Linked DNA regions of Kluyveromyces lactis. The protein of the gene in region 2 interacts with the protein of the main gene of each other region in a pairwise test. Links are inferred from orthologs where the notes say so. Each region holds a gene or a part of one and is shown on either strand. Other genes may lie near its edges.

Region 1 (3,486 bases), on a different chromosome or scaffold from region 2:
TCCACCTGAGGTTTCTGCGGGATTACCCAATTATATGAAGCCTTTGATTTTGCCATATTCTGACCTAGTGCATACGAGATTAGAATGCCAAGCCATGAAAACATATGCACGCTAAGCCTAACTATTAAATTCGGCAAAAATAAGACGGCAAGTAATACAGAATTGCGCGAGTATACATCAGTAGCATTTGGCTGTCCGTTTAATCCGATGATTTGGAATTTTTCTTTATAATTGTATGGTAATCTGTGAATAAAGGGTAGTTTAGGTACCATTCCAAACGGGTTCTCCAAAATGTTTGGGATTCTCAGTGATATTGGTAATTCTGAACGCGTATCTTCCAGGATCTGGCGCTCATCAGATTGTGATTGTTGGACAGGAATTGTGTTTTGAGCGGGTGTAGGCTGTGGTGCAAAGTCTAGATTTTCTTTCCAATTGTCGTCGAAATATCTACCCAAAGCGTGTTCCAATTGCCAAGAATGATTGCGTAGAAGCTTTATAACATTAGGCAATTCATCAGTGGGGAAAGACGTTATCATTTGAAACTCGTTGAGCTTTTGCTCTTCTGAGTGGGAGAGTTCAAATCGTTGATCATTATGTTCAATTACTGGCATTTTAAGGTTCGTTACAAATCACAGTACGCTCAAGCAGATATACTTTAATTCGGATCTCAATGCCAAAAATACTGGGTTGTCAATTTTATACATTCACAGCTAATATATGCAGTATAGTTAATGTAGCTTATCAGTAAACTCGAATCTATATCCTCCTGCACTTTTCTGGTTAAGTTGGCCTGCCTGTTAAAGTTTCCCGTTTTTTCGTTAAATGTTCATGAGAACGAAACAGAAATTTAGTGCACCGTCAGAATATCGTAAGAAACACTAATAAACCAAACAAAGAAATTGCAATGAGTACTAGCTGTTGTCTATAAAAGTATATTTCGATGTAATATTTATGCTGTTTATATATTATATTAGCAATCGTTAAGGGTTGCCAGGCTTTCTAGCAACTACGTACCAATTATCCTTTTCGTAACCTTGTCCAACTATTATTCCTCCGGCCATTTGGCAATCCTCTTCTAGTTCCCCCTCGCGATATAGATGGTAGTAACGATACTTCGTGTTGGATTTTGTCTCCTTTTCGAGCTTCTTGCGCTCTTCCTCTATTTCCTGCTCTCTTTTTAGCCTGAGAGCTTCCTGTTCTAGTTTCCATTTGTTCAAGAATTCAGATCTTTCATGTTTAGGAACGGTGGATAAATCTGGCTTGGGGACTTGTATTTTGCCCTTTTTACCAGATTTCTCATCAATTTCCGTATCCCTCTTCTGATCTTGTAAAACCCACGGTACTAAAACGTCTTGTTCCATACCCTCTCGATACCCTCTTCTAGAATCACCTTGTTCCAATGCCCAGCAGTAAATCAAAACTTCTCCTCCGGGTCTTACTTTGCTGATGATATGTCTTATGGCTCCAACTCTTCTTTCTCTGGTCGACCAGTGGTGCACCACCGCAATGGATATAGCGAAATCGAAAGTATTATCGCGATGAGGTAGCTTGATCCCGTCTGCAATTAGAACATTGTACTGTGAATTGATATCATGTGCACACGTAATTAACCCCGAGGATCTATCTGAACCTAAAATAAAAACATTCGGGTTCACAGCAAGGTACTTCCCATTTCCACAGCCAACATCAATACCGATAGAACCCATCTCTCTAGACATCAAAAACTCCGATACAATTGGCCATGGCTTATATCTGGTTTGTGAGAAATGCGGAGCAATATCGTTGTACACTTGGTGCACGTATTCTTCTTCCTTCAATTCAGCCATTATATTTGAAAACCCCACAGACTACACTGCGTCTAGCTGTATCTAAGGAGCATATAGAAATACTCTGAAACTGTGATCTTAACTTCATTCTTTTTGCACGTATTGTACCTCATTGATACTGCCATTATCCATTTTTTTCACTTTTTCGTTATATCTGTTGTTCGAATCAGAAAACAGACACTAAGCCATGCAATTTGAAATTAATGTTCGACAAATAAGTCGACATTTCGAAACGATTCAAGAGAAGCTATGCTTCTTAATATCTAACGTCCATTAGTTTTCCTTCAAAGGCGTATATCGGAAAGTGACTAGTGGAATTGCGGCAATAGGTTTCGTCGATAACTTGATTTCATTAGAGCATTCGAAGGTTTCGGCTAAAATACTTCGCTAATTATTCCAAAGGTATTCGTGATCCCAACAGCAAGTCTAAAAGAATACAGTGTTTTTTGAACTTTCCTTACGATGAGTACAGTCACTCTACGTCGTCTTGTAACACTATCCTTTGCGCTTTGCTACGTGTTACTTGGAGTTCCTTTATGGTACAGATTGACTACCATATACAGGGCACCACTACCTGCAGAATACATTGAGAGTTTGCATGCAAACCTCCACGAAGATATCCATTTGACTATCCCTGTATACGTGCAATCGGATATATATAACTTTCCTGATGTATGTGATGCCATTCAAAGACAGGCGGATGAGCTATTACAGAGTGCTGATGAACACCAAAGAAAGGTACAGTGGTCGTTGCAAATACTACCGTTCAAAGAGGGCGAAACAGATCCAAATAACGATCATGTGGTCAAGTTGGTTTTGGATGAGTCCATGGGACTAACGATACCTCAATTGACCAAAGAAACTATTATATTTTTCAATGATGAATCCCTGGTGAACAACGATCTTCCATTTTTCGTCGCTCAGGCCCTAATAGAGCACACGTTTAAGATAGAATGGGAGCATTTCAGTAAATATCATCAGAACTCTGTTAAAAGTGACTCAAAATCCAGGAACATGGCTGTAAATTATGACCCAAACATCCATATCTCGATCTCCCTTTTAACTGGTGATGCGGAACCTATTGCCTGGGATATTGACGCTACTTTAAGGGAATATTTCACTCCAATTAGAGATCTCCTTTCTCCATTGGTGAACTTTACCGTTGACACAGGGATTGAGTATCATAACGACTTGAATTTACATTCTTTATCTAACGCTGAATACGTTTCCTGGAATGATCTTTCTCACACTTTGGATTTGTCTGACCTCTTCTCCGTGAACCATTATCGGGAACAAAATTCCATAAATCTAGCCATTGTCTTTCCTTCAGTTGAAACTGGGTCCTTAGCTTTTATCAACGAGACAGGAAATGGTATTGACTGGAAATCATTCTTAGTACCACAGTGGGGTGTTGTTGTGATAAACAAAGATCCATTACCAACAAATGCTTACATAACAAACGACTACCTTGCTGATGTCATTTCAACTTTTGCCCACGACATCTTCAAATTATTGGGATTGAGTGAGGTAGCTGAAGATATGAACTCACCATTAGTTAGGATAGACTCATTTAAGAGGAAAGTCATTATTGATAACTTGGAGAAAAGTGTCACTACTTTATCCTCTTTAGTTAGTATGACGAATCATTTACAACAAATGT
Region 2 (3,248 bases):
GATAGATTTTGAAGGTGAAGTCAAAGGAGTACCTTGAATTTGAGACCCGTCGCTGTATAAATTCCTCTTAGGTTCAGGATCAGTGTCGGAATTTGTTCTATTTCTGTTCAGTGTATTCGTGGTATCATTTGCATCATGATTAGCAGCAGCTTCACTACTAGCTGGAGGGCTCAACTCGGAATCAACAGGGGGTTGCGATGGTTCCTTTTTGCCAAAGACTTTCTTTAGTCTCATTGACAACTTTGACGAGTTTCCACTTGCAGCCTTTTCTGCGGGAGCGCCTTCTTGTTCTATGGATTCGCGAGATACGGGTTTCGCCTCTTGAAGTACAATAGCAGGTGCTTCATGCAAAGAAGCATGTAACATTACCGGATGGCTGTTAGATGCTTTTGTGTTACCTTCGGAGGTTTCAGAAGGCTGTTGCTGCTGTTGCTGTTGTTGAGGTTTCCATATTGATTTCGGAATGAATTTAGACAAAGAAGCCATACTTCTAGACCGTTCTCTTGCAGCCCCTACTTCATGTTGGTTGAGCTCAACTTTATCAAGCATCACACCATCCATGGTAAATAATTCAAAGTAACACTTTAGTATCAATAATCAACTCGTGAGAAATACCTCTATTGACAAAAAAGACTAACCCGCAAATTAATATCACTATAAGTTTTGGTCAACAAAACCCCACAGAGTATATGGCTTTCAATGATTATTATATCAGGCTCAAAAGAAACAGCAAAATACAAGTAAGTACCGGTGCTGTAACAGGTGTTAATATAAAACTGATAGAAACAAACCGGATTGAAAAGCCTGGCAAAATATTTAACCGAAGAAAACGTGTATTCACGGGGCGTTTTAAGACAACCTTTTATTCGTGTTAGCAAAGTACTCAATAAAACTTACTTCCTACAGCTCTAATACAATAAAATAACGAAAATTATGCGAAGTACGGTGCATCCTGGATTTTATTTTAACACTCTTTACTTAATTAAGAATCATTCCTGGCTGGATTAAAACCCTCTTTTTTTCGAACATACAAACCTTGTTTTCTCTCCATTTCTGGATTTTCATCATGGTGGCTCTTCAACAATGTGGGCCTTTTGATTGTCAAAGCCTCGTCGTCAGCTGATATAACACGTGACCTGAAATTATTCTTTATTAAGCTAGAAAGTTCACTGTATGTACATATATAGATGCTGGATTTGAATATTCATGCTAGATGTGGTGGTAGAAGGAGGTTTGGAATGCTGTTTTTTATGTAGTATATGTGTTCACAGTTTTTGCATTGCATTTGTCCCTCTACAATGTTAGTTTGAATTAACAGTGTGTGCAGATCTCTTAGAATGACCATGTCCTCATCCGTTAAATTCTCTTCAAATTCTGGTTTGTTGGGTGGTAGCTCAGTATTTCCTAAATCTGATGCTACTGAAACTACAGCTTGCCAATCAACACGGTCAATTATTCTTAAAAGGAACTCCGGGTTGAATTCGATGCTCTCATCCTGTTCTAGTTGACAATTTTCACGAACGTAGCGAAGTGGGAAATTCAGGTTACTGTTATCGCATCCTTTCACGGAACATTTAAGGAAGTTTGTAGTTAGGAATTTCATATCTGCAGTTAGTTTAATGGGTCGGGTATAATTCGATTCACAATAACAAAATGATGCTGATTTTATTGGGACTCACTTCATCTCATCGCATTAACAACTCTGTTCGAATTCATTGATAATTCGATTTTTACGGTTTTTAATTTTTCATGTTACAGAAATGAAAAGAAAAGATTCCCATGCCAGAAAGAAGCAGGGTATGCATATGAAGAACAATATGTAAGTATTATAATCTTCAATATCTGATTCATTCCTACCTAACGTTAACACTCCAAAAATTAAATCAATCTTGAGGCAGACAAGCATGCTAATCGTTTCACAGACATTTTTTTAAATTTTTTTTATTTTCTTTGTTGAGATTATTCTTGTAGATATTATCCTGTCACATTGAGCATATGAATCAAAGCTACTCTTAAAATAACAGAAAGGAAAAGCCATGTATCCGTAAAAAAAAGAGAGGCATTGCTCTAGTGTTTTTTCGGATCTCAGCAAACATAAAAAGATGGCTCCTATCCTTTTTAGAGCTTTAAGCCAATTTCACTTCTTATGCTTAAGCAAAATACCATAAATAAATTAATTTTCGGAAACTAAAATTTTTCAAAACATATATTTTATTTTAAAAAATTCAAAATTCCACATTATTTTAATTAAAATTTTTTCAATATAAAATTAATAAAAAAATATTTTTAATTGCAATAAAGTAAAAGTTTAGAAATTTATTTTATATAAAAAGAGAGAAAATGTAAAATTTGATTTTAGTCACATGATGTTTTATGATTTTACTTAATTTTTGAATACATTACGTACGACAGACTCCACTGTCAAGAAGTTGAGCAGGTACTATAATCTTCGTTCCTGTTTATGCGTTTTTACTATTTATTTGAAGGTAGAACTGTTATTGAATGCTAACATTTGTGTTACTTTTGATTGATTTTAGTGAATTTTGCTTTATTTTATAGAATTTAATTATGTTTTTTGTATTTTTTTGAAGAATTTATTTTAACTTATTTTTTATTATTTTCTGAAAATATTTTTTTTATTTATTCTATTTATTATTTGCCATTATCTAAGGATTCTATTGCATATGGACAATTTGTATGTACAAATGAACTAATTAATTGTATGTTAAAGCAAAAATACAACTCTGGCTTAACAACACTCTAACCACTAACAGATCAAGAAACCTAAATTATTGTGATCATTAAGTATAGGAAAGGAGAAACCAATGGCTATTAATTAGTACGTTATCTTTCTATCCGACCATTTCACAATTTGGGAGACACTTTAAATTTGTCGTTTAGTTCTGTTTTAATATTCAGAAAAAAAAACAATTAGAGAATATTAGTTAACGTTAACACGATATTCAAGATCACACCAGGCAAATCGAATTCTTATCATACGTTGAGTCTACGTAAAACAAACAACTACTATGAGTTCAAGCGATGTTAAATCTGTACTACTAATTGGTGGATCTGGATTTCTAGGTCTCCATTTGATTCAGCAATTTTCTGAACTTAAACCACAACCTCAGATCCATGTTTTTGACGTAAGACCACTTCCAGATCGGATCTCAAAACAATTCACTTTTGATCCTTCGACAATTACCTTCCATCAAGGTGATCTAACGTCACCTGCTGATGTTAGAAAG
Region 3 (4,027 bases), about 550 kb from region 2:
CATCGACACTAGAAGCGTTTTCAAATGTCAAGAACCCAAAACCTCTGGACCTACCGGTAGCAGTGTCCTTCATAATCTTAACTTCAGCGACTGCACCGTATTTGCTGAAGTAATCACGTAAACCCTCTTCGGTGGTTTCCCAATTTAGACCACCAATGAACATCTTGTTAATGTCACGAGACAAATCAGCTTTGATAGCCTTTGGTTCATGCTGAGATGCAGTTTGTTGCAATTGAGACATAGTCTGTTGCAATTGTTGCAACTGTGACATATCTGGCATACCTGGCATCTGTGGCATTTGAGGCATCTGCAGCATTTCAGGAACGGAAGCACTGTAGTTTTCCTTGTTATTGTTTTCAGCCTTGTCATTATTGGATGCAAGATTAGAATCTGGTTGATTATTTGAAGAGGCAACCTGCTGTTGCAGTTGTGACAGGTTAGATGACAAAGCCTGTAAAGCTGCTAGTTGATCTAATTGAGATGTTGCCGCGGTGGTGTTTGTGCTACTACTATTAGCCTCTTTATTGGTAGTTGAAGCTTGATCTTTGTGATCATCTGTCGAGCTATTACTAACGTTATTTTGATTATTATTACTTTGAGTATTATTTTGATTATCTGTAGATGTTGCAGTTGATGAAGTCGACTCGTTATTGTTCACCGTGGTTTGAGCGGTATTTTCATCACCGTAGATGTCGTTAAAATCTTCATCGTCTGATAAACTCATCTTGAATGCAATATTTCAATTTCTTCTTATTCGTCTACTTGTTGCACCGTTCACTTTACCACTTGGATTTTCTTAGTTCTGTACACTAAATATGATAAATCTGCAGTAAACGTTTGTAAATATAAGTACGATAACGCTGTGTAAGTTTCCTGCGCCGTTCCTCTTCCGCTCTACTTAAATGATCCTTGTTCTTTTTGTCTGTATGGGGATTTTATAGCTTAAACACAGCAACACACAGCAAAGTTTAATGTTATACGTTAAAAGTAGTAGTAGACGATAATAAAGTAATAACTGAGATCTAATACAGTACGAAAATAAAACAAATATGAGCTATTTCCGGTAACAATGGTTCCTCTCTCCTAGTTTGCAATTTCTAAAACTCTATTGAAAACAATCGGTATCTTATAAATGAAAAGAAAAAGAAAAAATACAGTGTAAATATTCTTTGTTCCGTTGATTATTTCGATTCGCTAATGATATACGGGTACTTCTATACTTTTGAATCCTATATCCTTCCCTAACTCGTTTTAGTGACTTGATTATCTCTTTAGACTGTCTAATCACCTGGAAAGTGGTAAACAAACAGGAAGAAACATTCTGCCCCTTCAATTTTTCTCCTGTACTGCTTTTATATTCAAATTAATTTTTTTTTTTTTCCAATGGCAACAACTTGGCCCCAAAAATTATTCGCTGTTCTTAGTGAAAAATTCATGCTTTAGGGCCTTTTTGGTTGTCATTTTGTCGATTTCGCCTTGCAAAAAAAGAAACTTTTTGACAACTCGTCCCAAAACTGCGCCCAAACAATCAGAAACACCGGGTAATGAAATCCTATATACCTTTCTTTACTCATTCAACGCCGACTTCAGCTAAACATGCAGAGAAAGCGAAATATCGAGATGAGCTGCGATGAGATGAGATCCTCTTTAATCGAAAGTGCGACTTCTCAGTTAATCACTTTTCGTACTTCCGGATTTAGAATTAATACAAACGCCAGTTATAACCATCATCTATGGCTAGGAAGCGGTATCTTTTGTTTATGGTGCAGGTGCACTTAAATTTCCGTCTAGCAGAATTGGAATCACTAGCGGATCTGCATGGAGTTGATGTCGACTTTTCGAGTTATTCTGTCGATTCACCATTCATGATAGTTACCTTGGAAAATGATAAGCAAGCCAGTGATTGGATTAGGAGATCGGTGCTTACAAGAGCCATTTATGAGTACTGGGGTGAAGGTAATACTTATGAGTCGTTGCACAAGAGTGTCCAAGCTCATCCCGAGTTTGAACAGTATAAGAGCGCAAATGAAAGAAAGAGTTTCAAGTTTGAATTTGAAAAGTTTGGTGGTAACGCGAAACAGGATATTTCTACGAGAGTGACAACCATTGAATCTTTCCAGTACCTTGAGTTGAAGGGACCCATCAAAATGAAAAATCCGGATGAAGTTTTTACGGTTATTGAAGAATACAAAGCTATCAGCGAAAATATCGGGGGTGAGGTTCCAGAAAAGATCTATTTCGGAAGGTTAATTCAACTAAGCGATCGTGCACGGGGTGCACTAGAGAAGTATGACTTGAAAAAGAGACCTTACAAAGGAACCACATCATTTGAAGCTGAATTATCACTGGTAAGTGCAAATATTGCACAGGTAAAACCAGCACATATAATGTATGATCCATTCGTTGGTACTGGTTCATTCCTGGTGGCTGGTGGCCATTATGGTGCTCTTGTCTTAGGGTCTGATATTGATGGTAGGATGATCAGAGGGAAGGGACAACAAACTATCAAGGCAAATTTCAAGTATTATAAAGAGTCTATCCAATTCCTGGACGTCATGACAATGGATTTTACGCATAATGCATTGAGAAAGGACTTTGTCATTGATACGATCCTTTGTGATCCTCCATACGGTATTAGAGAATCGATTAAAGTTCTTGGAGCAAAGGATCCGGAGAGATTTGCTGGGAAAGAGGATGTGGAAATTAACGGTCAAAAAGCTTATCTACTTAGAGACTATATTCCAACTAAAAAACCGTACTCTTTAGATTCCCTATTAGACGATTTGTTGGATTACGCAAGTCAAAGACTCCCCATTAATGGTAGATTGGCTTTCTGGATGCCCACTGCCAATGACGAGAATGTTGCAACTATAATTCCTCTTCATTCGAATTTGGAACTGAAGTATAACTGTGTTCAAGATTTCAATAAATGGTCTAGAAGATTATTGGTGTATATCAATAGAGGACACGAATTTAATGGACCCAACAATTCTGGTTTGAGTAGAACTGGTAATTTCAGAGATAGATACTTCAGCGGGTTCAATTGATATTATTGGACCTGATATAAGGCTAATAATAGACATCTGCTCACTCTAGCATTACACTATAATATGTATCATTAGTTAAAATACAAATTAATATTTATAAAATCGATATTATTACATTTATTATACACAAAGTTACAATGACTGACAATATTATACAATATTATACATATTCCTTGCATATCATCTTCCACTGCCAATACTTGGTATCATGACGCTATAACTTGAAATTCATTACTAAGTGCAGCAGGAACTCGTGGAGCCTGGGTTTGAACCATCGTCGTTTTGGTTATTCAATGGTTTATTCAAATCCACAGTTTTGGATTTATTCTTCATTAATCTCTGTCGCACGCCACGGGGAGTGCCTGGAATATCCTCCAAACTACTTTCACTATCTTCTGATTGGTCTGATGAAATTACTCTAAGCTCTCTGTCATCCTCATAACACCCGCTTTCTACCAAATCTTTAATAATAATATTGAATGTCCTTTCTACCACATTCTCCCATTTACAACTAACTTCAAAGTTACCTGATATTTTTATATTATAATCTTTCTCAATCCTGGAAATGAACTGAAGTACGTCTTCATGCGTAACTTTCCTTTCCTTATATAAATCGAGTTTGTTCCCCACTAGATAAAACCGTGTCATGCTCAAATTAGGAATATTCTCAATGGATTCAACCAACCAGAAGTTCAAGCAATTCAGGAAACTATTGAAGTCACATATATCATAACTTAAAATCACTCCATTAGATCCTTTATATAATGAAGAAATCATAGCATTCCTATATCTCTCTTGTCCAGCAGTGTCCCACATAATAACTCTGAAAAATCTATTGTCTATATTCACCAAATTTGTCTTTATATCTATCCCAATGGTCGAAGTAGTATTAATCTCAAAATCAGAATCATCAGCCATCGGGGAATTTTCGAAATCATTCAAAGAGTACCTCTTCCGTTTGGCAATACTCTTAACCCTAT

What was found. The genes of interacting proteins can lie anywhere in the genome.
Region 1: the proteins of TRM112 (region 2) and TRM9 interact in binary tests that used the Saccharomyces cerevisiae proteins (3 or more experiments, as listed by UniProt). The link is inferred for Kluyveromyces lactis from reciprocal best matches to the Saccharomyces cerevisiae genes TRM112 and TRM9.
Region 3: the proteins of TRM112 (region 2) and TRM11 interact in binary tests that used the Saccharomyces cerevisiae proteins (3 or more experiments, as listed by UniProt). The link is inferred for Kluyveromyces lactis from reciprocal best matches to the Saccharomyces cerevisiae genes TRM112 and TRM11.

The regions. Positions count from the first base shown.
Region 1 is NC_006038.1:80,684-84,169, forward strand, and holds TRM9 (tRNA (carboxymethyluridine(34)-5-O)-methyltransferase), read right to left. Parts: upstream 1,827-3,486; coding exon 981-1,826; downstream 1-980. Other genes in the region: UBX2 (Ubx2p), read right to left, coding at 1-611; GPI-anchor transamidase GPI17, read left to right, coding at 2,289-3,486. UniProt on the Saccharomyces cerevisiae protein: Required for the methylation of the wobble bases at position 34 in tRNA. Appears to have a role in stress-response.
Region 2 is NC_006039.1:1,637,271-1,640,518, reverse strand, and holds TRM112 (RNA methylation protein TRM112), read right to left. Parts: upstream 1,604-3,248; coding exon 1,205-1,603; downstream 1-1,204. Other genes in the region: KLLA0_C18568g (serine/threonine-protein kinase), read right to left, coding at 1-561; ERG26 (sterol-4-alpha-carboxylate 3-dehydrogenase (decarboxylating)), read left to right, coding at 3,030-3,248. UniProt on the Saccharomyces cerevisiae protein: Acts as an activator of both rRNA/tRNA and protein methyltransferases. Together with methyltransferase MTQ2, required for the methylation of eRF1 on 'Gln-182'.
Region 3 is NC_006039.1:1,091,271-1,095,297, reverse strand, and holds TRM11 (tRNA (guanine-N2-)-methyltransferase), read left to right. Parts: upstream 1-1,733; coding exon 1,734-3,047; downstream 3,048-4,027. Other genes in the region: HRP1 (Hrp1p), read right to left, coding at 1-724; Rab family GTPase YPT11, read right to left, coding at 3,282-4,027. UniProt on the Saccharomyces cerevisiae protein: Catalytic subunit of an S-adenosyl-L-methionine-dependent tRNA methyltransferase complex that mediates the methylation of the guanosine nucleotide at position 10 (m2G10) in tRNAs.